4 linked regions of the Arabidopsis thaliana genome follow. The protein of the gene in region 1 interacts with the protein of each later gene in a pairwise test. Each region holds a gene or a part of one and is shown on either strand. Other genes may lie near its edges.

Region 1 (4,936 bases):
ATTAATTACTGTAATCAAATTAGTGAAGAAAAAAGAAGAAGAGAGATTAGTGATTTTTATTTACAGGAAGACGAAGAAAGGACTTGGTGGTTTCTTAGGCCTGTTTGGATCCTTTGTTTTCTTTCCAACTTTGTTCCCTCTAACTTTCAATCTGAGAATCATAAAAGACGATTTCAAAACTACGGAAACAAATTGAATCTAAGAATCGAGATTACGGATAAATATAAAGATACCTATCATCAGTGCTCCTCGATTCAACTTCCGTTTGGTTATCTTTCATCTCGAGATCTGTCACAGAGAGGAACAAAAGTGAGAATCCGGTGGGGAAAAATAGCTGACTCGGAGTTGACTCAGATGAGGCGGCGAGTAGGAGCGAGCTTACCTCTGTGTGAACACGTTTAGGTTATTTCTTTTTTTGAATTGGGGAGAGACGACGATTGAGATAATTCTTTGATGCGGTGTTAATTTAAGATGTTGGTATTTTTAATCTTGACCGTAGATAATTAAGATGTTGGTACATTTAATCTTGACCATCCGTGTAAATTCAACAGTAACTTTTATCAGATTCCTAAATAAGTTTTTAAGTTACAACACACAAACATGCTAACATTGCATCATCCCTAATTACATTAAACTACATTTGATTCTCTCTCTCTCTCTCTTTGTGTCTCATGTGTCATGAACTCACCAGTGTCCTCCATATACCCATCCCTACCCCAACCATCACAGCCACCATTACCGTTGCAACCACCTTCCATCGCTTCCCTCCTCGTCTCTTTCTGCTCTGCACCTGTACCTGTAACCACAACAAACTTCTCTTTAGACAAAGATACTTCTCAGTTTCTTTTATCATTACTAGCTGATCTCACATGCTCTACTGATTGCTTTCTCTTTTTTTTCTTTCTAATTCTATAGTATTTAGTAGAGCTTACTACTATACTCTTTCTTCATTCATGTGTAAACAAGTTCACTCATTCTTACCTCGTCGTCTGCAAATCTCTCTCCTTTTACTTGGCCTATAGTTCCCCGCGCCCTGAGCTTTATTTGAGGTTTAACCAAAGAACCACTCTTCTCTGAGTATTTAGCTGCAGCTTCTTTGGCCTGCACATCCCCACCATTAACAACAAATTAAAAAGATGCATCCTTTATGTTATTGATGTCTAAGACACAACTTTTGGAATCACTAGTCTCGTACCTCGGGAATAACAGTGTGTCCTTCATTCACCTCCTCTCGTTCTTTTACTTCAGAGTTAGACTGCAGCTGCAGACGGATTCTCCTTGGAGCAATACCCTGGTTTATCAATCCTGTACTCTGCCGGTTCTGAGGCTGTCGAGCCCGGATCTTTATCCCTCTCCCTTCTGTGAGGTTGTTCTCTGTGTTATGATTGATCATTTGCTCTTGCTGAACCAAATCACTATAGTATGAATTAGTGTCACTTGGCCAACCAGAAGCTCCACCTTCTGAACCATACTGATCAAACAAAAGATAAAAATTGTCATTTTACTTATGTCAAGAGTGATTGTAAAGATAACTGATCTAGAGGTTTCTAGCCTACTTAAAGCAAAATAATTTGGATACTTCTAAAATTGTATAGGCCTCAAAATATGTATCTTTGTGCTCACCTGCAATTGCGCCATCTCAGCATCTGTATCAGTGAAAGCCATGAAGTCGTTGAAGAAAGCATCCTCTGGTGCTGCAGACTGCAGCATTTTAGCAGATGAAAATATCCCATTTGGTGAGACTGCTGGATTCTCTCGACTGATCGATTCCTCGCAAGAGAAGTCATCAGGGTTATTGAACACCTCCTCCAACAATTCTGTTAGTGATACATCTGGTTCGCTGGTACCATCTTGAAATTGGAATCCAATCTCATCGTAACTGAAATCACCAGCATATATAGAATCCATACACGGTAGTGGTGCCTTTTGATCTTCAAGGTCACAAGATAACCAAAGATTCTCTTCAGGTGCCTATGAACACAAAACTCAAAATTAGTCAAGTCACTCAAAAAAGCCTAATTAATTATTCAAGAGTTTCCATTCATACCTCAATCATTGTCCCATCTGCGGTACTATTACTATGAGCATAACCGCATCCACCTGAATAATCTGATGGTTTCTCAACAGCAGCATCAGAGGAAGGTGTTTCTTGAACAAGATCAGATGATGTATCATCAGGTGAGTATTTGTTGCTGGCCGTAAAAGCTGCTTCATCGGACTTGACACCATTAACCCGATCATCAGGCTTGTGGAAGAGGCGACAAAGAACGTAAGGGCTTTGGCCAGGGGAAGTGCCATCAAGATCCTTAAGAGTGGGACGATACTCGTGCATAATCCAATTAGTCCGCTCACCTTTAGGAGCTCGTCCACGATAGAAGACAAGAGTCTTCTTCATACCGATTAAAGTCTTCTTAGACTTGATGCTACGATCTTTACCAGTAGCTTTCCAATAGCCAGAGTCAGTTGCTCTGTTAGAGCGATGACCATTAGGGTATTTCCGATCACGAGGGCAGAAAAAGAACCACTCTGGATCATCCGTCTTAATCACCGAGAGAGCTGCCGACAATCAGATTTGTTTCCAATTGAGTAAAGAAAAAAAAGGTGGAATCTTTGAGAGGGAAAACAGAATCTGAGAATAAAAGGAATCAAATTTTGAGAGAATAAAGAGACGAACCAGGAAGATCCCAAGGTTCCCATTTGCAGACATCGATATCAGGGATGACACGGACATCGGAGTGACGTCCGTTGATCTTGAGACGGAGGTAGTGATTGACGAGCTCTTCATCGGTAGGTCTGAATCTGAAACCTAAAGGAAGCGACTCCATCGATACAGCACCCATAATCCTCTTCTTTAGGGTTTCTTTCCGACTTTGAATACACTCTCTGCTTTTTTTTCTGCTTTCTAAAAAGTCTTCAACACTTTGCTTTCTCTCATCTTCTTTTTTTTTTCCCTCTTTTTTTTTAACCTTTCTTTAGACCACGTGAGAAAGATAACTTCCACTTTAAACACTTGTCCTCTTCTGTCTTATTGTCTTGTCTTGTCTTTTCTTGATAGGCTTCCATTATTGTGGCTAGGGCCCAAAAAGGCCTTAAAGCCCAAAGCTTCGTGGTTTTTCTTCTCTTGTGGTTTAGGCTTTACAGTGATCAGAGAAACCCAAAACACGTTGGAAACGTCTAAGCAGAGAAAAACAGAGCTTCCAACAAATTCAGCATTGTAATTCTTCTAGACGTTTTATACAAATTTTACATATACACTATGGAACTCTCCTTGCATTTCTACCAAATCTGAATTGAAAAAGGGATTTGTAAGATATGAAAATGCGATAACGTTGCCTAGATTAATCAGTTTTCGACATTTTTTTTTTCCTGTTCCGATTCCATGTAACTTTTTGAGGGCCACAACTTTTCTTAATTAAAAAAATAAGAAAAATAAAAGCTCAAGTGACAATCAGTTTTTGAAAATGATACTAACTAAGCTCTTAACATTTTTACGCATGTATATAAACATTAATCTTTTATTTGGTCTTAAATACAAAGCATATATATGATGCTATCAATCTAAATGGTCTATTTGTACATAATTAAATAAAACATAAAATTAAAGCCTGCGCATACAACATGTCTACAACCAAAAACTTCTTTCGTTTATATCAAAATCAACATCCCAATACTTCATCTTCTCTTCTCTTCTATTTGGCACTTATAGACGCGAAAGGTTTGAACCGGCGGGAAAGTAAGACACCATAATCGGAGCTCTCGGGGATTTGCTTTTTGGTTTCTTTGAGGACAGGACTTTCAAGTCACTCTCATCAGTTGAGCTAATCTTTGAGTCTGATTTTGGAACAAAGCAATCAAAGACGGAGGCAAAGAGAGAACACATGATCATAGGAGTTTGAAAAACGTGTTTGGAGTCTATATACGATGAATGATATGATTAAGATTTGATCTCAGGTAATTACGTGAACGATATGTATTTATAAGACAACCCATCTTTATAAATTCTTGGACACGTTTCTAGGAAATGACCACTAAATCTTGCTGGCCAAGCTTTGCCCTATTCTTAATTGTTTTCTCTTTTGACAACACTTGGGCACCTTTTTTGACTCTTTGGGCCTAATTGGACCAACTATTGATACCAAACATACGTTAACATCACCTCCATATCACTCACCCAATCAAGTTTTCCAAAATGTTATGATTAAAATTAGGGTCTTCATGTCACTATCCAACAAAAGTTTTCCAAAATTCAACATTAAAATTAGGGGAAATATGTACGAAATAGAACTTATATATCCATGTTAAGAAGAAAAAAAACTATATATCCAAGCAATACAAAATATTTAGGTTCTACACTCCATTTTATACAAAATATTAATTGTTTTCGATTAGAGTTTTATTAGAAAGTTCTCACTCAGATAAAATCAAAACTAGTACTCTGTATTTTTATATAGAGAAAAATCCTTGTAAGTTAATGTTACTAATACTACCCAAGTACCCAGAGTATTTTGACACATTCTATTGACTTTTGATTGAAACATGTCCGGCTTAATTTAACGCAATTATTCAGTTTAGATTTTGAACACCTTAAATGAATTGGCTTTTAACAGATCATAATATCAATACCAGTTTTAGTCCTTGAGAACTCAGCCCATGACTTAAAATATGAAAACTTCAGCCCATGACTTAATAAATGAACAAAGAGAACCCAAAAACAGAAAATGAATCATGGACATATTTACATATATCATAATCTGACCAAATTGGAAATTATGCTCAAATGCTTAATATTCCTCTGATTCATTTACCAAATTCAACCTCTGTAGAATCATTCTAAACAAAATTCAATTACCACTTTTCAGACATGCGTCGCGCGTGTGAGTGTTTAGCTACATGGGCTTGGTTCGGTGCAACCCGCTTCCCACTGTTAATTTTACAT
Region 2 (6,316 bases), on another chromosome or scaffold:
ACCTTGCAATGTAGAATGACCCTGAAGCAACATATCGGCACTGTCACTTCACTCTTATGTTGGGACAAGTGTCTGATATCGTCTTCCTTGGATGGGACCATAAAACTTTGGGCTTGTTCTGAAAATGAAAGTTTGAAAGTTGTTCAAACTCGCAAACAAGAACTGAGTGTTCATACTCTCTGTGGAATGCACGATGCAGAGGCCAAACCGATCATGTTTTGCTCTTACCAAAATGGAGCAGTTGGCATTTTCGACCTACCATCTTTTGAAGAAAGAGGAAAGATGTTCTCTACGCAGACGATCTGCACACTTACAATTGGTCCTGGAGGATTGTTATTCAGTGGAGACAAGAGTGGGAACTTGCGTGTATGGAGCTTAGCTTCTGGCACCAAAGTTTAGTCGTTTTAACAATTTTCGACTATTGATTTTCATTTAATTTGTACATATACATTGGTGGTTGATTCTAAATCCTTGCATTAATGTAATAACTTTTAATGTTGCCAAGATAAAAGAAAGTAATATTTTCATATCCGTTCTCTCATAGAAAGATGTTTATTTAACACAATTCCTTAAAAGATTTGTGAACTCCATGGAAGCTTCAAAGTTTTGTTCTGTATTCAAATTTCTTATTCTTCTTCTTTTGAAACTGAAAACGTGGGGAAAAAAAAGGAGATTTACAAGTAGAAAACACAAATCTACCAAATGGTATAATTTGTTTTTGGTCTTGAAGGAAGAATGCAAGCAAAACTGGACAGAATATATATCAACTAAGAATGTGGAAAGACACACGAATCACACAAACCAAATAATAGTGAACGCTCTTTGCATTTTGGCTTATTCATCTAGCTTTTCCACTTTTGTGTTTATCCAAGTGAGGAAATGCTTGTAGAATGTTATAAGCCCTGAGATCTTGCCTTGTTAAGATCCCTATCACAGGTGACATCTGCAACAACACAAGACACACGTTTAGTAGTGTTCTTGAATCTTGAATCAAGAGAGTAAAAAAGCAAACTTACCCCTGAAGCTTGAATCTTGGGAACCACCAGTAAATGTCTGAGACCCACTGACCGGAACAGAACCAAAGCTTTAGCCACTGACATACTTTGCACCACTGTGTAAGGTGTAGTGTTGGTCAAAGGATGAAGATCAACATACAATTGCATCTCTGAGCTTGTGATTGCAACATCATCGAAGTTATCTTCTCTCTCAGCTAATTCAACCGGTGTGAACTTTTCCCTAACTTCCCACTCTTCTGTTCTCCTTTTCTCATTCAAGAACCATCTCTTTTTCAGAACTTTCACAAGGTGAGCTCTTAGGATCAGACCATGGAGCTCTGTGCCAGTGTTTTGATCTGCTCCATCCAAGACTGGGAATGCGTTATGCGTTGTGTTCCTTAGTACATCGACTATATTTGCCACTTTTTCTACTCCGTTAAGTGTTACAACCGGAGGCTTAGCGTCGTTAAGCTCACCTACAGTGAGATTCCTCATCCACGGCTCTGGATTTGCTTCCAAGAAAGGTAAGCCCTTAAGATGGAGAATGATCTCGTAGATACTTAGATTGAAGCTGTCACCTACTGTTTTAGCTATCAGAAGCACAAACATTGTAATGGGCAACAAAAGAAGGTTGTTGGTGAGTTCCAGAAATATAACACAGAGTGAAACAGTCATTCTCATTGAACCAGCCATGAGTGAAGCTGCACCAAGAACCGCGTAAAGCCCTTGATCTATGTTTGTGTAAGACCCCATTGCTGTGCCTAGCATCCTACCGTATGCAGAACCCATGAGGATAATCGGTAGGAAGAGACCCGACGGTGTCGCTATACCGAATGTTATAAGACCCAAAATGCAGTAGAGGCCAAAGAATATCCAGAGAGAAACCATGCCAAACTCATTAGGAGTGTTTGAAGAGAAAATGTTTCTGACTGCATCATCATTGGTTGTGAGAAGCAGAGTGGATAGATCGTTGTAATAACCATTTGGACAGTTGAATTGCTTGAAATTTCCTGATCTTCCGTTTGTTGGACATATCTCGTCTATAGAAGGATCACAAGGCTTGCATTCCGCTAAGAAAGGAAGACCGAACAAGCAAACTGATGTGAATAGAGATACCCCAAGACTTAGAAGCACCTTATGAATCTTTCCCTTCCTACACCAAAATTTACCAAACAATGTTAAGTAAAAAGAAATCTTTAAGACTCTTGAACGTTCATAAACACTTACTGGTTGATGAGATTGTAAAGCCGGAGAACTTTATGCAGAAGATGATTGTACAAGCTTCCAAGAATGCCACCAAAGACTCCAATCAATGTGACTGGGATTATATCTGCTGCGTGGTACCTAACCTCTACATGACTCACATCGAACATAATGAGTCCTCCTGAGCCGAAAAGTCCGCATTTCCCGGAGTTACAAATCTCAATGAACGCTCTTAATACAACCACCACAACGGCTGTACTGAAGAATGTTCTCCACAAGAGAGCGCTTCTCCACCACGTAGCGACTTCCTCAAGAGCGAAAAGTACTCCTCCTACTGGTGACCTGAAAGCAGCACATACTCCAGAGGCAGATCCACATGTAATAAGATCTCTTCGATCTCTATCGTTGTTGAAGTAACGAAGCCATCTCCATTTGATTCTGTGATTATCTGGACCACCTTGACCAAGCAAAGAAGCTATGCAACTTCCAATATGAACCAATGGCCCTTCTTTACCAAGATCAAGTCCAGCTGCAACCGCTCCAATACTTCCAACAATCTAATCGGAAAAAAACCGCAAAATCCATCAGTAAAACAAAAGATCTCACACTAACTTTGTGGGAAGCTTCAAACTTTGTGAAGGTTTAAGAAACAAACCTTAACCATCATGGTGGTAAAACCAAACATATTGGGAGTGTCAATGCCATTAAGGTAAGCTTTAATCTCAGGGATCCCCGGACCAGCCGCCGTAGGAGCAAAGTAAACAACAAGTACTGTCGCCACCAAAGTCAGACCCAAATTCGCCCCCGTAAAGACCATCAGACCTGTCCAAAACCTATTTCAAAAACATAAACTTGTCATACAAGGTATCTCAATTTCTTGATCTTGACTGTTTTGTTTTTCAAGATTTGGCTGATGAGTCAATACCTATCTTGAGCAATGTAGTAGCCGACGGCGAGAAGTTTGTAACCGGCGATGTTTTCGACAGCAAGGTTGATGAGAGTAGCGATAAGACCAGTGAAGAGACCAACAAGACAAGCTAATGTCCATTTTAAGAATATGTATTGAAACACTTGTGCTTTTGATCTGCTTCTCCAGTCATGCTTGAACAGATCATTCTCGTTTATTCTGCAGAAATCCAAAATCTCAAATCAAAAATCTATACAAGTATATGTCTCCATCACTGATTATTTTCCACCAAGTTTAAGAAAAAAAAATATATGAAGATTGTCTGAAAACAGAGTAAAGATAAATAAACGTTATAGAAAGAGATTTGAGACCAAGACTTATCATACAACTAATAAACAAAAGGTAACCTAATTATCTGGATCTTGTACAAGATTTGGTTTATGATTGCTTGCGGCAAATTGAAAATGTGAGAAATAATTGAAGTATCACAACAGGTCATATGTCTCCATCACTAATATTTTCATTCTTCTTGTCAAAATTATCTCTAATATTTTCATAATTTATGTTCTGAAAATCAGGATAAAGATTTAAAAATTTATAGAAAGAGATTGAGACAAATAATCCATTCAATTTTATTTCTTTCTAAAATGAAAATTAGCTGAAAAAATAGTAAGATTGAAACTTTACAAAAAAAAAAGATAATGACAAACTCAATAAACCATCAGAAAGTGAAGATTTATCTGGAAACAGAGTAAAGCTCAAAACTTTATAGAATAAGGTTTTTTTTTTGTCACTCTTTATAGAACAAGATTAAGACTCATCCAAAAAACAATTCAAGAAAAGTAAAATTCGATATGAAAACAGAATAAGAATCAAATAATCAAGATCTAGAAGATAAAGAAGACATACTCATAATCTAAACTCTCGATGTGTGAAACCTTGGCACCGACCAAAGCAAGAGGAGTTGAAGAAAGAGTTCTATGTCTCTTAAGCAGTGGTTGATTCAAAGTGTTGTTCTCTGGATCTTCTCCTTCTTCTTCTCCATTGTAATTACTATTACTAATCTGCAAGTTTCCATCTTCATCCATCGATAGCTGTCTCTCTAATGATCCAAGAAACAATAAATAGGACCACTCCGAAAATTTATGAAAAGAAGAAGAAGAAGAACAAAAGTAGATTTTGGTTAGATCTTCAAGAGCTTTCTATCTATCTCTCTGTTACAAAACTACTTTTGGTTTGGATTTTCTCTGCGAATTTTGTCGTTTTTTCTAGAGAAACACTTTTATGAAGCTTTATAGATCTCTCTCTACATATGATACATGCATGCATCAATATACACCATTATATGTATGGTGATACAAACATAACATTTAATTTAAATGTTATTTGTTGTGAGGAGGAGTCACAGTGGGTGGATGGGTACCATATGCTATTCTCACTAAAGATAAGACAATCATTGGTCTATATTATATTGCCTACTTAAATAATATAACCTAAAATAAAGGTTGTCATCAAAAAAAAAAAAAAAAAACCTAAAATGAAGGCATGATATGTGTGTTTGTGTAGGCATCTACTATTCTCTAGCTATGTTTCAATCTGAATAGTGAATACAGTATATAGTTTTGAAATCCATTGTTGGTTTTGAAGTTAGAAGGAAGAAAGTTATAATTCTGTATACAAACCCTATATTAGTTTATTTATTCTTATCAATATTTTTAGTCCATTTTGTTGTGTGTACAAATCTACTTTGTCTTTAGCTATATACATACTTTTGTTTTACTCGTTTTTCATGTATATTAATACCCAAAATAAATTTGAAATTAGTTTGTGATTTTGACGTAGTTGAACAACGACGAATTTTTTTATATTGAAATAATTCTTATCCACTAAGGATATAACCCTTTTTGTGTGTGTAGAAATCGACTATTATCTAGCTATTAATTTGTACTCAATTTTTTTATTTCTTTCATTACAAATCAATATGTGATTTTGACGTAAAGTTGAAGAGGGAAAGAAAAATGATTTACATAAACATTAAGGTAACTTTTAAGAATTTTTGTGGCAGACATAAAATGTTTTACGTCGATAGTTCCAAAATCTTTGGGCGCATAGTGCAACTTGTATAATTTGGTTTCATAATAGGGTTTCTTGAAAAGTACTGTCAAAAATGCATATGTGGAAGTCCAAAAATACTACTCCATATCCCAAATTTCTCTAAGTAATAGTCCCTAACAACTATTAATATCACAATTAGTTATTTATTAATTTATCAAATACATAATTATTTTAAAATAGACATTTTAAATATTTTCATGAATTTCTTGCACAGACCAACGCTCTCCATACTTTTCCGTTTTGGATCGACAAAGACGGTTGCATGTGGATCTCTAAGGCATTGACAAATCTTTTCTGTTTTCATGTATAAAACTAATGATATTCAAACATTGTCCATAAAAAACATTACTCATAGAATACTCTACAATTTGCACTAGGGGACATAAACAAAATTTGTTTCGGTTGCTTGTGTACACATGGTAGATCACAATAATAATCTTCTTTTTAATTCCTTCATTTTTCATTATACATCACACATTACCTGAATAAGTAGCTTCTATCTTTTTTATTCTCCCATGTACTTTTTTCATATATCATTTCATCCGTTTTCATATAAATATCGATTCAAACTTTTTACTTAACTTTTAAAAATATGGAAAGAAGAAATCAAATATCAACATTTAAATAAGATTTTGTAATTATTTTTCTTCTAATTCATATAATTCATTCTTGATTCTTCATTGATCAGCCATTTGCCCATTTGGTTGCGTACTGGCCAAGTGACTATATCTCTCTTCTGTTAAATTGGTGACTTGTGTCAAATGACAACTCAGCCACTAGGTCTGACAGATCAGCAAAAACCTTTGTAACCAATAAGTATGAACATGTGTAATCTTACACATTCGTTCGATAATTCCAAGATCCAACGATCAAAAGAATTCCGACCCTTGAGGTCATCGAACAGCCCTTTTTAAATTTTCTCTTGTACGAGTATTTATCTCTAATCATTTATTCTCCAAACACGTGATTTATATATTCCGGACCCTAGAAACGTCCAATTGGAGAAATATATTTGACCACATAAACGTAGATATAATTAATCTTTAACATTATACGATGTTTTGTGTACTACTTAGTCTACTTTGTTGTTGAATAA
Region 3 (5,322 bases), on another chromosome or scaffold:
GATTTGGTCCAAATAATTGAGCAGGACTGGAAGGAGAAGAATTCGTCAGATGGGGGGAGCCCCAGAGGATTGGAGCTTAACGATGAAGAAGCCCCTCTGATAACGTCGCGGTTGTCGCATATTGGCCGGACTCAGCTTGGAAACCACACGGCAGTCTGAGAATGACCGTTATGTTGTTTCACTTCTCAGGTGAAAATGTCTTTTATCTCTTTTGGAACCCAAACAGTTTTAAATAGAATTTACCTCGGATTACTTAACATTGTTAGTTCTACAAAAAAAAGAAACGCAAAATTATTTGTAGGGTCTCTGAAAGTTATAAATGTTTTCACTAGACAGCGTAGCTCCGGACCCGGCCTTGGTCTACTCTTTATGATCCAAACAGTTCTGACTTCTGAGTGTGTGGCCCTGTATTTGATATTTTCCCTTTCTATATTAGCTGGAAATACTATAAATTTTGTTTAACTGATTTTACAAATTTGTGGATCATTATAATGTTCAAAAAACTAAGGGTAGAACATATCTATTACTATAATATGATTACCACTGGCTCCTTAGATGTCTTGGACAATAAAACGGATCTTATAAAATATATTGAACTTGGTATAAAATTATACAACATGTGGTCATAAGTTAAAGAATGATGATATATGATACAAAACTCTAATGAAAGCTCAAATTTAAATGACATAAACAAGCCCTCTTTCATGAAAGAATGAACACACACGCAACAGCAAGTGTAATATGCACCAAACCTTCCCTCTCGGCCCTGCCAAAAGGCTATTCTCTGAAGTACAAGAGCTTTCTCGATTGCGCTGGAGGAGCTAGTCCAGGGATGTCTCTGATGTCTTTGTTGTTTGGGTTCACGATCTGTGTTTTTATTTAAGCAGTGTTAAAACTTGCTTAAGGAATCATAGCTTTATTTGGGCCGTAATGAGAAAAGTTGGAGAGTGCAATGGTTACCTTCACAATGATTATAGCTATAACACCACAGACAATCAGAAACAGGAACGCCATTATGCATTTATCTGTAGCTACCTGTGACAAGAAAGAATTGAGGTTGAAAGGAAACGGTGATAATAGTTAGACACAATTTTAGCTTTTGCAGTGTCTTAGAATCTTATGTCCTGTGAGAGATCATACAAACCTGTCTTCCTATCTCTTTCACCAGCTGCGAAGCTTTCTTAAGAGAGAACTGAATTGTGTCTAGGTCGTTTACAACGCGGCCCATTTGATCCGTCTGAAAATATTTAGGTCAGCATATTTGGAACTACACCTGATAAGAATATCGAGAAGAGATGGTGAATGCTTTGTGTTACCTGTCCCTTTAAGTTAGATGCAGTTTGAGTGCCAACTTCGAGTGTCTGATGCACAACCTGGAAAGAAACACTGGATGTTACTAGAGACATAGCATCAAAGACTGAGTGAGATATACTTCTTTCTGTAACTTACCTGTTTAGAACGTTCAATAGCCTGGTCAGTCTCGTCCATCCTTTTCATTCCAGCATCGACAAGCTCTTGGTTTGACATTGCTACATATATATAAACGATAAAACAAGAGTCAACATAAAGTTCCACACTTTTTCCACAGGATAGTTCAAGGACAATTATTCTTGGAACACATGTAGATATTAGAAATCCAGCCACATATGATCCTCCACTAGAAATTTACTAACATCAAACCACCAACATAAACACATTAAAAGGTAAAGTAGGTAAACAGTTACTGTCATATATGTCTCTCCACTAGAAACTTACTGAAACACATCAAATGATACCAAACCATTAGCCAAAAGTGCAGGACTAACTATCCTACCCATTCTGATATATAGAAAACAGTTTAAGCTTCCAATGTGTCAAATTTTGGACTTTTTCTGGTTGCAGAAGAAAATCAACTGAATAGATGACATATTTAGACAGACTCACTTGAAGCCATTTGGACGTTTTCTTCAGCTGTGGGTTCACCGCTGACTCCAGCTCCAGTATCAAAAAGTTCAACTTTCTTGTTGCCGAGTGTATTCAAGTACCTGAAGTCACACAACAAATGGGAATGTATTAACACATACCGATCTATATCTCTATATAAAAAAACATACATTTGCTAAAAGGATTGGTATATGAGAAAATCAAATATAGGGACAGACAATGAAGCTCCTTGGAAGTAGACGTACTTACGTTTTTCTTAGTGCAACATAAGAGTTGAGTTCCTTAATCTGTCACATAAATCACTGGAAATATCAACAAGCAGATTTTGAAAAGACATAACAACCAGATGCTAGCGAGAAATTAAGGTAGATAAATCGAGAGATTCACACAAAAACACTCAGAATCTACATTGATATACCACTGAATCAACATGCTTTTCGATGGTGACCCAAAACTCAAGTGAGGCGAGAAAGCTGAACTTTATATTCCAATACTAACTTCAGAAATATCACACTAACACGAAGCTTAAAAAGTATCATGTCCTCCATAGATTTCATCAACACACAGATTATTATAAGTAATAAGAAGTAAACTCACCATAGATTGTTTCTCATCATTCAATTGCTTATTTACTTGAGGAGAATTTCGAGCTTCCCCATCTTTGAGTTCACGATCAAACTCCTTAACCAACCTAACGTGAAGCGCAGAGATTTAAAAATCGTTGATCACCAAAAAAAACTCTTTCCTACTCATGATTACACATCTCATCCATCTCAAATAATACATTTTCCCACAATGCAAAAACATAATCACCAATAGACTTACAACATTTTAGTTCTCATGAAAAATTCAATCCCTCATCTAACACCGGAAAGTTCGAGTAGTAAAAAAACTGATATCTTGGAGAAAGTGAATACCTTTTACAGTCTCTCATCTTCTCAGCAAGTTCTTCGAGTTGCTTGCTTTGTCTACTAGAATCCTTGATCTTATCCAACCTCTGGAAGCCATTCCTGCATATCAATGTTGAATCTCACTTTTAAAGAAAAAAATCATAAGACTTGTGCCTCAGATTCACTATCCCAACTCTTATTTTCTCGTCTGTGAAACTCAAATTCAATCTCCTAACAAATCTAGTTCCCAAAAAATCTATAGTCTTGTCGATAACGTACACTCGAATGAAAAATTGAAGAGATAGTTAAGAGAAAGCATACGCGAGGGCTCGGAAATGGTCACGGATTTCTCCGTGAATCTGCTCCAAATGAGGGCTCATCGGCAATTCAGACGCCATATCTGCCGGATTATTTCAGGCTCCGGCGATTGAAAAGACAAAACCCTAAGAGCAAACCCAGAAATCCTTCCCCCTCAAAAAAAAAAAACTTTTTCACCGCATCAAAATCATTCCCAAAGACTGAAAAGAAAAACCCTAATTTGGAAGAGAAGAAACTGATAAAAATGGAAAAAGATCGGAGAACGAAAACGCGGCAGAGCTTAAGCTCTCATCGAACGGAAAAAAGGAAAGAGAGAATTGAAGTTCAGTGCGAGGCTAATCTCGTAATTATTTGCTTATTTGAAAAAGTATAATATTAGTTTGATTATTAAAAAAAACAGAGAGATTTGACAGCGAAGCTCCACCATGTTTTAGATCATATATAGCCGTTTGAAGAAAAAAACTGAAAATGTCGTCCACATTGTGCTACACTCTGTCCCTATAGGACCTACGCAACTTTTCTATAAGCCATATTTCAAATATTTCCGGTTATTTTTGACATCTTAATATATATATGACAGTTAAAAACAAGCAGATTAAAAATATTTATTTTTAAAAAGTTCAACCAATCATAATAAAGACTACAGAATATAAATATTAAATAAAATATTAAAATAATATATAATTTTTGGGAAAAATGTTATTTAATACCTCAACTAACAAAAAATGGCCAAATTAACCGTGAACTCGTGAAATGGCCGTTTTAACTCTCAACAAAAAGTTGACTTCTGTTTTAACCTTTAAGTTTGCGTTGACTCGGCCTAATTAACCACCGTTAAAAATCCTTCTAACAGCGTAATTGACAGCCGTTATAGAACATCCGTTAAGGTGATACGACGACGTTTTGTGCTATCAATACGACGACGTTTTGTGCTATCAATAGAACATCCGTTAAGGTGATACGACGATCATTTCGAGCTGCCTCTACTCTATCATCATCTTCATCGTCAGAGGACAAAGGATCTGGAATCTTGTCTTCATCCCATATATCATCTCCGCCGTCATTGTCACTAGCTTCTTCTTCTCCATTAGCCTCTGGAAAATCTCTTTCCATGTCTAAGTTACCATCTTCTTCGACACCTAATCCAGCAGTATCATCTTCTTCTCTATTAGTATCTACTGCATCATCAACCTCATCGCAGTCTTCATCTCCTTGGACTGCACAGTCATCGTCTTCATCAAGAGCAGGAACTTCAGCCTCTAAATCCTCCTCTTCTTCATCTCTGATTCTCCTTCGTTTACTTCGTCTAAGTGGAGCACGAACTTCAACGCCTGATTCAATGTGAGCTTCCTCGTGAGCTTCCTCTTCTCCGCCACAAGACGTTTCACCTAAAGCTTCCTCTTCCTCTTGTCCAATTTCACGACGAGTTGATTCTTCAACTGCAACATCAGCTTCCTCTTCCAATCTATTTTGCCTTCGTTTACTTCGCCTAAGTGGAGAACAAACTGCGGTTGCATTTCCCACATCAACGGACTGACCTCGAGCTTCTTCTCCAATTTGATTTGCTTCTCCTTCCGGCATTGGTTCAACTGCATCGTGAGCTTCTTCTTCCAATCTGATTTGCCTTCGTTTACTTCGCCTAAGTGGAGAACGAACTTCGGCCACATCTGCCACATCAACATTTGATACTACATTCGCTTGACCTCGAGCTTCTTCTCCAATTCGATCTGCTTCTCCTTCCGGCGTTGCTTTAGCTGCATCTTGTGCTCCCTCTTCTCCGCCACAAGACTCAGATACCACATTCGTTTCACCCACAACTTCTTCTCCAATTTCATCTCTTTCTCCTCGCGGTAGTGCTTCAACTCCATCTCCCACCAAATTCTCTGATTCGTGAAGCATTGGAGATCCAATCATCATAACGACGCCATTCTTTCTAACTAATGGCATTTCAGAAAACGAATTGAAGCAATTAGGGTTTCGATTTTGATTTTGGGGGCAGGATTAGGTTTCGATTTGGGTTTAGGGTAATTGATTTTGTTTTGAGAAATTATATTCTCGATTTTGATTTCTCTTTAGCACGAAAACGGCGTCGTAAGACTATAGTAACAGATGCTTAACGGACTAAAACGGCTGTCAATTACGCTGTTAGAAGGATTTTTAACGGTGGTTAATTAGGCCGAGTCAACGCAAA
Region 4 (4,767 bases), on another chromosome or scaffold:
GATCTCCTAGATCTTTGTTATTACTTTTAATTATCTTTCAATGTAAACATGGAAAAAAAAATAAAAAAACTGGTACATTTTGTATGCATTTTTGCGGTTATAAACTTTGGAATTGTAAAGAATGAACTAGATTTTAACCCGCGGTACACCGCGGAGACAATTTATTTTTTTAAATTAGTATATATAAAATTTTACAAATTATGTCTATCTATAAAATATTTTTATTTTATAGTTTATAATTGTTATTAAGTAACGTCCTTCTAAACCCGTTCCACCAAACTCGTCCTGTAAAAATAAACCGCGGTACCCCGCTAATTTAAATTTATAATTAAAATAAATATTTTACGGGATTGCAATTGTGTTTTAGTTTGTCAAACAAAATTTTGTTTTAAATAGTTGTCGAAATGTAGTTCAAATTTTGGAGACATAAGATTTAGTGAATAGATAAGAAATATATTTAGTTGCGTTTCGCTCATTTTAAGGGATTGCAATTGTCTTTTGGGTTGTCAAACATTTTTTGTTTTAAATAGTTGTCGAAATCTATTTCAAATTTTGGAAAAATCTGCGTGATATATGGGATTGGAATATATTTCGAATGTTTTTTTATTTGTTAATCAATTTATTGCTAAAAAAACAATAATTAAAAGCCAATGGTAGCCATTGTAAATAAATTCCAACTCCAGGATTTATTTCACAAAATGACTGCAACAATGTATATATAGATTCTATTTTTATGAATATAATTCCCTTTATATTTGGAGACTATTTCCTTTGAATGATGACTTGTCTGAATACAAATCTTCTCGTAAGTCCTTAAAGGATATTTGGTTTCCCACGAATCAAGCCAATACAAGTTTGTGTATGTCATTTATGTTTAAATGAGTTTAGTTGGCAAAGTAATCAAAATATTTCATTTCGAGAAGAACATATAGCTTACACGCCTCATAAGTTAGTTACCTACAGAAACTTATATGGTGGGGTGATATACTTTCGGATTCTAGGTAAGATATAGTATATGTGCGTTACTATTGCTCATACTATAAAAATCACCTTTTGGTTTTGAGTTATCATTTTGAAATCTACACATGATTGCGTGTACTCATTATTTAAAGTCGGCATAGATTTCTCCATATATATGTCATGATTCCATGAATGTTCTTTTAACATCTTAATGCGATAACACTTTACATTGAAATATTCAAGAAAAAACCAAGCTGTTTTCTAAATAAATTTAGTTTGTCCACGGTTAATAAAATTTAAAATTAGCGAAATACGTAAATAATCAAATGATATAACCAAAATGCCTATTATTTTTAAAACAACATTTTATTTTCTCTAATCTCATAAAATACTCTAATAAAATCTAGTTGTAAGTGAAAATAACACTAAGCTTCAAACACACACGTACATGAATGTTTGTTTTTTTCTTTCAAAAAAGCTGAACAATGACATTTTAAGTCCAAATGAAAACGATGGTATCATCTTGGACTTCCAATTTTCCATTGCCCATATTTTCTCTTTTCTTTTGTTTTTATCCAATTGGTATCGAATCATTCATATAAAATTATAAATCATGAAGTCAAATTTTTCAATAGTAACACTTGAGTAATAGTGGTCCTACCAACTTTTTACCAAGACAGATATATTTTTTTTAATACACTTTTTACCTTTTACTGTGTTTGCCTCAAATGAGTGTTTTTACCAGTTTCTGTGTATATAAATCTGCACTCCACTCTCAGTTTATCTTCATCCACAAGACAGTTCTTTAACAAAGTCATTAAACATTTCCCTTACCTTCTAAAGATCAACTCTTTCAAACACTTACTCTGCATGTAACTTCATAGATTGAACGAAGAACCAAAAAAACAGAGCAAAACAAACAAAAGATGGTTCAAAACCACCAAACAGTTCTCGCCGTCGATATGCCACAAACCGGCGGCTCCAAGTACTTGGACGACGACGGGAAAAACAAAAGAACTGGTAACAATGTTTCTCTCTTTCTCTTTAATTCATATTGAGACTTGGTTCTCTAATTATTCAAAAAAATATTAATTTGAACTCGAAACCTGCTCTGATTTAGTTATGTTGAAAAAACGAGAAAGTTGAAAGTTTTTAAATTTTGGGTTTTAGGGAGTGTTTGGACGGCGAGTGCACACATAATAACGGCAGTGATAGGTTCGGGAGTTTTGTCACTAGCGTGGGCTACGGCGCAGCTAGGTTGGCTCGCCGGACCGGTGGTGATGTTGCTCTTCTCTGCCGTCACTTATTTCACTTCTTCTCTTCTTGCTGCTTGTTACCGCTCCGGCGACCCTATCTCCGGCAAGAGGAACTACACTTATATGGATGCTGTCCGATCAAATCTCGGTAAATACAAAACTTCAAAGTAGAAATCGGACAATGGAGATCAGATCAGAACAGAGCATTAACATTTTTCATTGTTCTGTATAGGTGGCGTGAAGGTGACGCTATGTGGGATTGTTCAGTATCTTAATATCTTTGGTGTTGCTATTGGCTACACAATTGCTTCAGCTATAAGCATGATGTGAGTGTTCTCACTAATTAACTCTTAAAACTACGAAGTTAGGTAATGGACCAAATAGGTTTTGATGATAATAAAAAATAAACAAAATTTTGTTTTTGAAAAACAGGGCAATAAAGAGATCAAACTGTTTCCACAAGAGTGGAGGGAAAGATCCATGTCACATGAACAGTAATCCTTACATGATAGCTTTTGGATTAGTCCAGATTCTATTCTCTCAGATTCCAGATTTTGATCAACTTTGGTGGCTCTCAATCCTCGCCGCCGTTATGTCCTTCACTTATTCCTCAGCCGGTCTCGCCCTCGGCATAGCCCAAGTTGTCGGTTCGTTTCTTGAACCATAAAGCTTCTAGGGTCTTAAATAAGAACTTTCATAGGTAAAAAACTAATAGGTTTTATGTGTTTTGGTTTCATCAGTTAATGGGAAGGTGAAGGGAAGTCTCACTGGGATTAGCATAGGAGCAGTAACAGAGACACAGAAGATATGGAGGACCTTTCAAGCTCTTGGAGACATTGCTTTTGCTTACTCTTACTCCATTATCCTCATCGAGATTCAGGTACTTATACCTTCTTTACAAGTCTTGATGATCAAAGCCATTAATTACTGGTCCCATCATGAAGCTTTTTTTATTCTGGGATCTGAAACAGGACACAGTGAAGTCACCACCATCAGAAGAGAAGACGATGAAGAAGGCAACACTTGTGAGCGTCAGTGTAACGACTATGTTCTATATGTTGTGTGGATGTATGGGATATGCAGCCTTTGGAGACTTGTCTCCGGGAAATCTCTTAACCGGTTTCGGGTTTTATAATCCTTATTGGCTTCTTGACATTGCAAATGCAGCCATTGTGATTCACCTTATTGGTGCATACCAAGTCTATTGCCAACCTCTGTTTGCTTTCATCGAGAAGCAAGCTTCCATTCAATTCCCTGATAGTGAGTTCATTGCAAAAGATATCAAAATTCCAATTCCTGGTTTCAAGCCTCTCCGCTTGAATGTCTTCAGGTACAAATCTTGCCTTTAAACTAATGGGATCTGAGTTTTAAACATGATGTGTATGTAATAATCAAAGCTTCTGTGTGGCGTGGAATGGCTTACTCAGGTTGATATGGAGGACAGTGTTTGTGATCATAACGACAGTTATCTCAATGCTTCTTCCGTTTTTCAACGACGTTGTGGGTCTGCTCGGGGCACTAGGGTTTTGGCCATTGACGGTGTATTTTCCAGTGGAAATGTACATCGCGCAGAAGAAGATACCTAGATGGAGCACCAGATGGGTTTGCCTTCAAGTCTTCAGCTTAGGGTGTCTAGTAGTTAGCATTGCTGCAGCTGCAGGGTCCATAGCTGGAGTACTTCTTGATCTAAAGTCCTACAAGCCATTTCGAAGCGAATACTGATCAACTTGAATAGTAGCCAATTCAAAGCGATGACTAAGTCAGTTTTAAACACAATGGATTTATCAAGAACAGTCAAGAGAACCAAGAACCATGAATTTGGGAATTTTGATCAGCTTTTTTTTATATAGATAGAAGCAATAATGCTGTTAGTTCTTCTCTATAATCTTCTCTGTACCCTGAAGGCAAGAATTGTAGTCCTAATGAGTAAATCTTCGATTAATGACAGAGTCATGTGCTGCAACAGAATCATGAACTAGCACCATAATAGTATATTACCATTGTGGTAAAATTTCAATAACAAGTTCTTGTACTTGCTCTTCTTTCCATGATCTGATATTTGCCGTATGAACCATTCACTAAGGCACACAAGTATGGATTATTTAAGCGAAACAATCACCAGAGCAGTGCAGTAACAAAAGATCAAGACTTTATCAATGCCATCATAACTTACATAACTGAGTCATACATATCAATTCGCTTATTCAGTCTACAACTAGCAAAGATTTCTAATTCCTGTAAATCACATACTGTAGATTCCACATTCGAGGTCCTCAAATATCAACTTGCAGCAAGAAGCTTTTGCAACTGACCACTCTCCAAAGCAGCTCCAAGATCTGAAGCAACAAGATAAACAGCCAAGGCTTGTGAGTTACAAGGGAAATTTGGACAAAAGAATGAAACTTGGAGGAGATAGTGAGCTCATCATACCATCTGATCCACCAATATGCTTGCCGTTAACAAAAACTTGCGGGACAGTACGACGACCAACGAATTCTAAAAGCTCATACTGGATTTGATCTCCGTCCTCTGCAAAAACAAATCTCTCAGA

The links.
Region 2: the proteins of NTL9 (region 1) and CLC-A interact in a two-hybrid assay, tested with the Arabidopsis thaliana proteins (one large-scale study listed by BioGRID).
Region 3: the proteins of NTL9 (region 1) and NPSN12 interact in a two-hybrid assay, tested with the Arabidopsis thaliana proteins (one large-scale study listed by BioGRID).
Region 4: the proteins of NTL9 (region 1) and AAP3 interact in a two-hybrid assay, tested with the Arabidopsis thaliana proteins (one large-scale study listed by BioGRID).

Annotation. Positions count from the first base shown.
Region 1 is NC_003075.7:16,887,905-16,892,840, forward strand, and holds NTL9 (NAC transcription factor-like 9), read right to left. Parts: upstream 2,898-4,936; 5' UTR 2,841-2,897; coding exon 2,675-2,840; intron 2,557-2,674; coding exon 2,048-2,556; intron 1,972-2,047; coding exon 1,624-1,971; intron 1,472-1,623; coding exon 1,196-1,471; intron 1,102-1,195; coding exon 982-1,101; intron 816-981; coding exon 630-815; 3' UTR 501-629; downstream 1-500. Other genes in the region: HMGB5 (high mobility group B5), read right to left, coding at 65-151, 234-280. UniProt on the Arabidopsis thaliana protein: Transcriptional activator activated by proteolytic cleavage through regulated intramembrane proteolysis (RIP). Calmodulin-regulated transcriptional repressor. Binds several synthetic promoters with randomly selected binding sites.
Region 2 is NC_003076.8:16,380,807-16,387,122, forward strand, and holds CLC-A (chloride channel A), read right to left. Parts: upstream 4,619-6,316; 5' UTR 4,194-4,618; coding exon 4,015-4,193; intron 3,699-4,014; exon of another isoform or gene 3,325-3,698; coding exon 3,124-3,324; intron 3,032-3,123; coding exon 2,854-3,031; intron 2,756-2,853; coding exon 2,223-2,755; intron 2,149-2,222; coding exon 1,017-2,148; intron 944-1,016; coding exon 839-943; 3' UTR 510-838; downstream 1-509. Other genes in the region: AT5G40880 (WD-40 repeat family protein / zfwd3 protein (ZFWD3)), read left to right, coding at 1-399. UniProt on the Arabidopsis thaliana protein: Voltage-gated chloride channel that could play a role in the regulation of nitrate content.
Region 3 is NC_003070.9:17,808,446-17,813,767, forward strand, and holds NPSN12 (Putative plant snare 12), read right to left. Parts: upstream 3,662-5,322; 5' UTR 3,212-3,661; coding exon 3,135-3,211; exon of another isoform or gene 2,934-3,134; coding exon 2,841-2,933; intron 2,615-2,840; coding exon 2,521-2,614; intron 2,211-2,520; coding exon 2,173-2,210; intron 2,025-2,172; coding exon 1,924-2,024; intron 1,530-1,923; coding exon 1,450-1,529; intron 1,374-1,449; coding exon 1,317-1,373; intron 1,238-1,316; coding exon 1,145-1,237; intron 1,036-1,144; coding exon 961-1,035; intron 868-960; coding exon 778-867; 3' UTR 543-777; downstream 1-542. Other genes in the region: AT1G48230 (nodulin MtN21 /EamA-like transporter family protein), read left to right, coding at 25-159. UniProt on the Arabidopsis thaliana protein: Vesicle trafficking protein that functions in the secretory pathway.
Region 4 is NC_003070.9:29,074,372-29,079,138, reverse strand, and holds AAP3 (amino acid permease 3), read left to right. Parts: upstream 1-1,748; 5' UTR 1,749-1,886; coding exon 1,887-1,980; intron 1,981-2,130; coding exon 2,131-2,364; intron 2,365-2,448; coding exon 2,449-2,542; intron 2,543-2,648; coding exon 2,649-2,863; intron 2,864-2,956; coding exon 2,957-3,096; intron 3,097-3,187; coding exon 3,188-3,546; intron 3,547-3,643; coding exon 3,644-3,938; 3' UTR 3,939-4,260; downstream 4,261-4,767. Other genes in the region: AT1G77370 (Glutaredoxin family protein), read right to left, coding at 4,497-4,552, 4,647-4,767. UniProt on the Arabidopsis thaliana protein: Amino acid-proton symporter. Stereospecific transporter with a broad specificity for GABA, tryptophan and both neutral and basic amino acids. High affinity transport of cationic amino acids.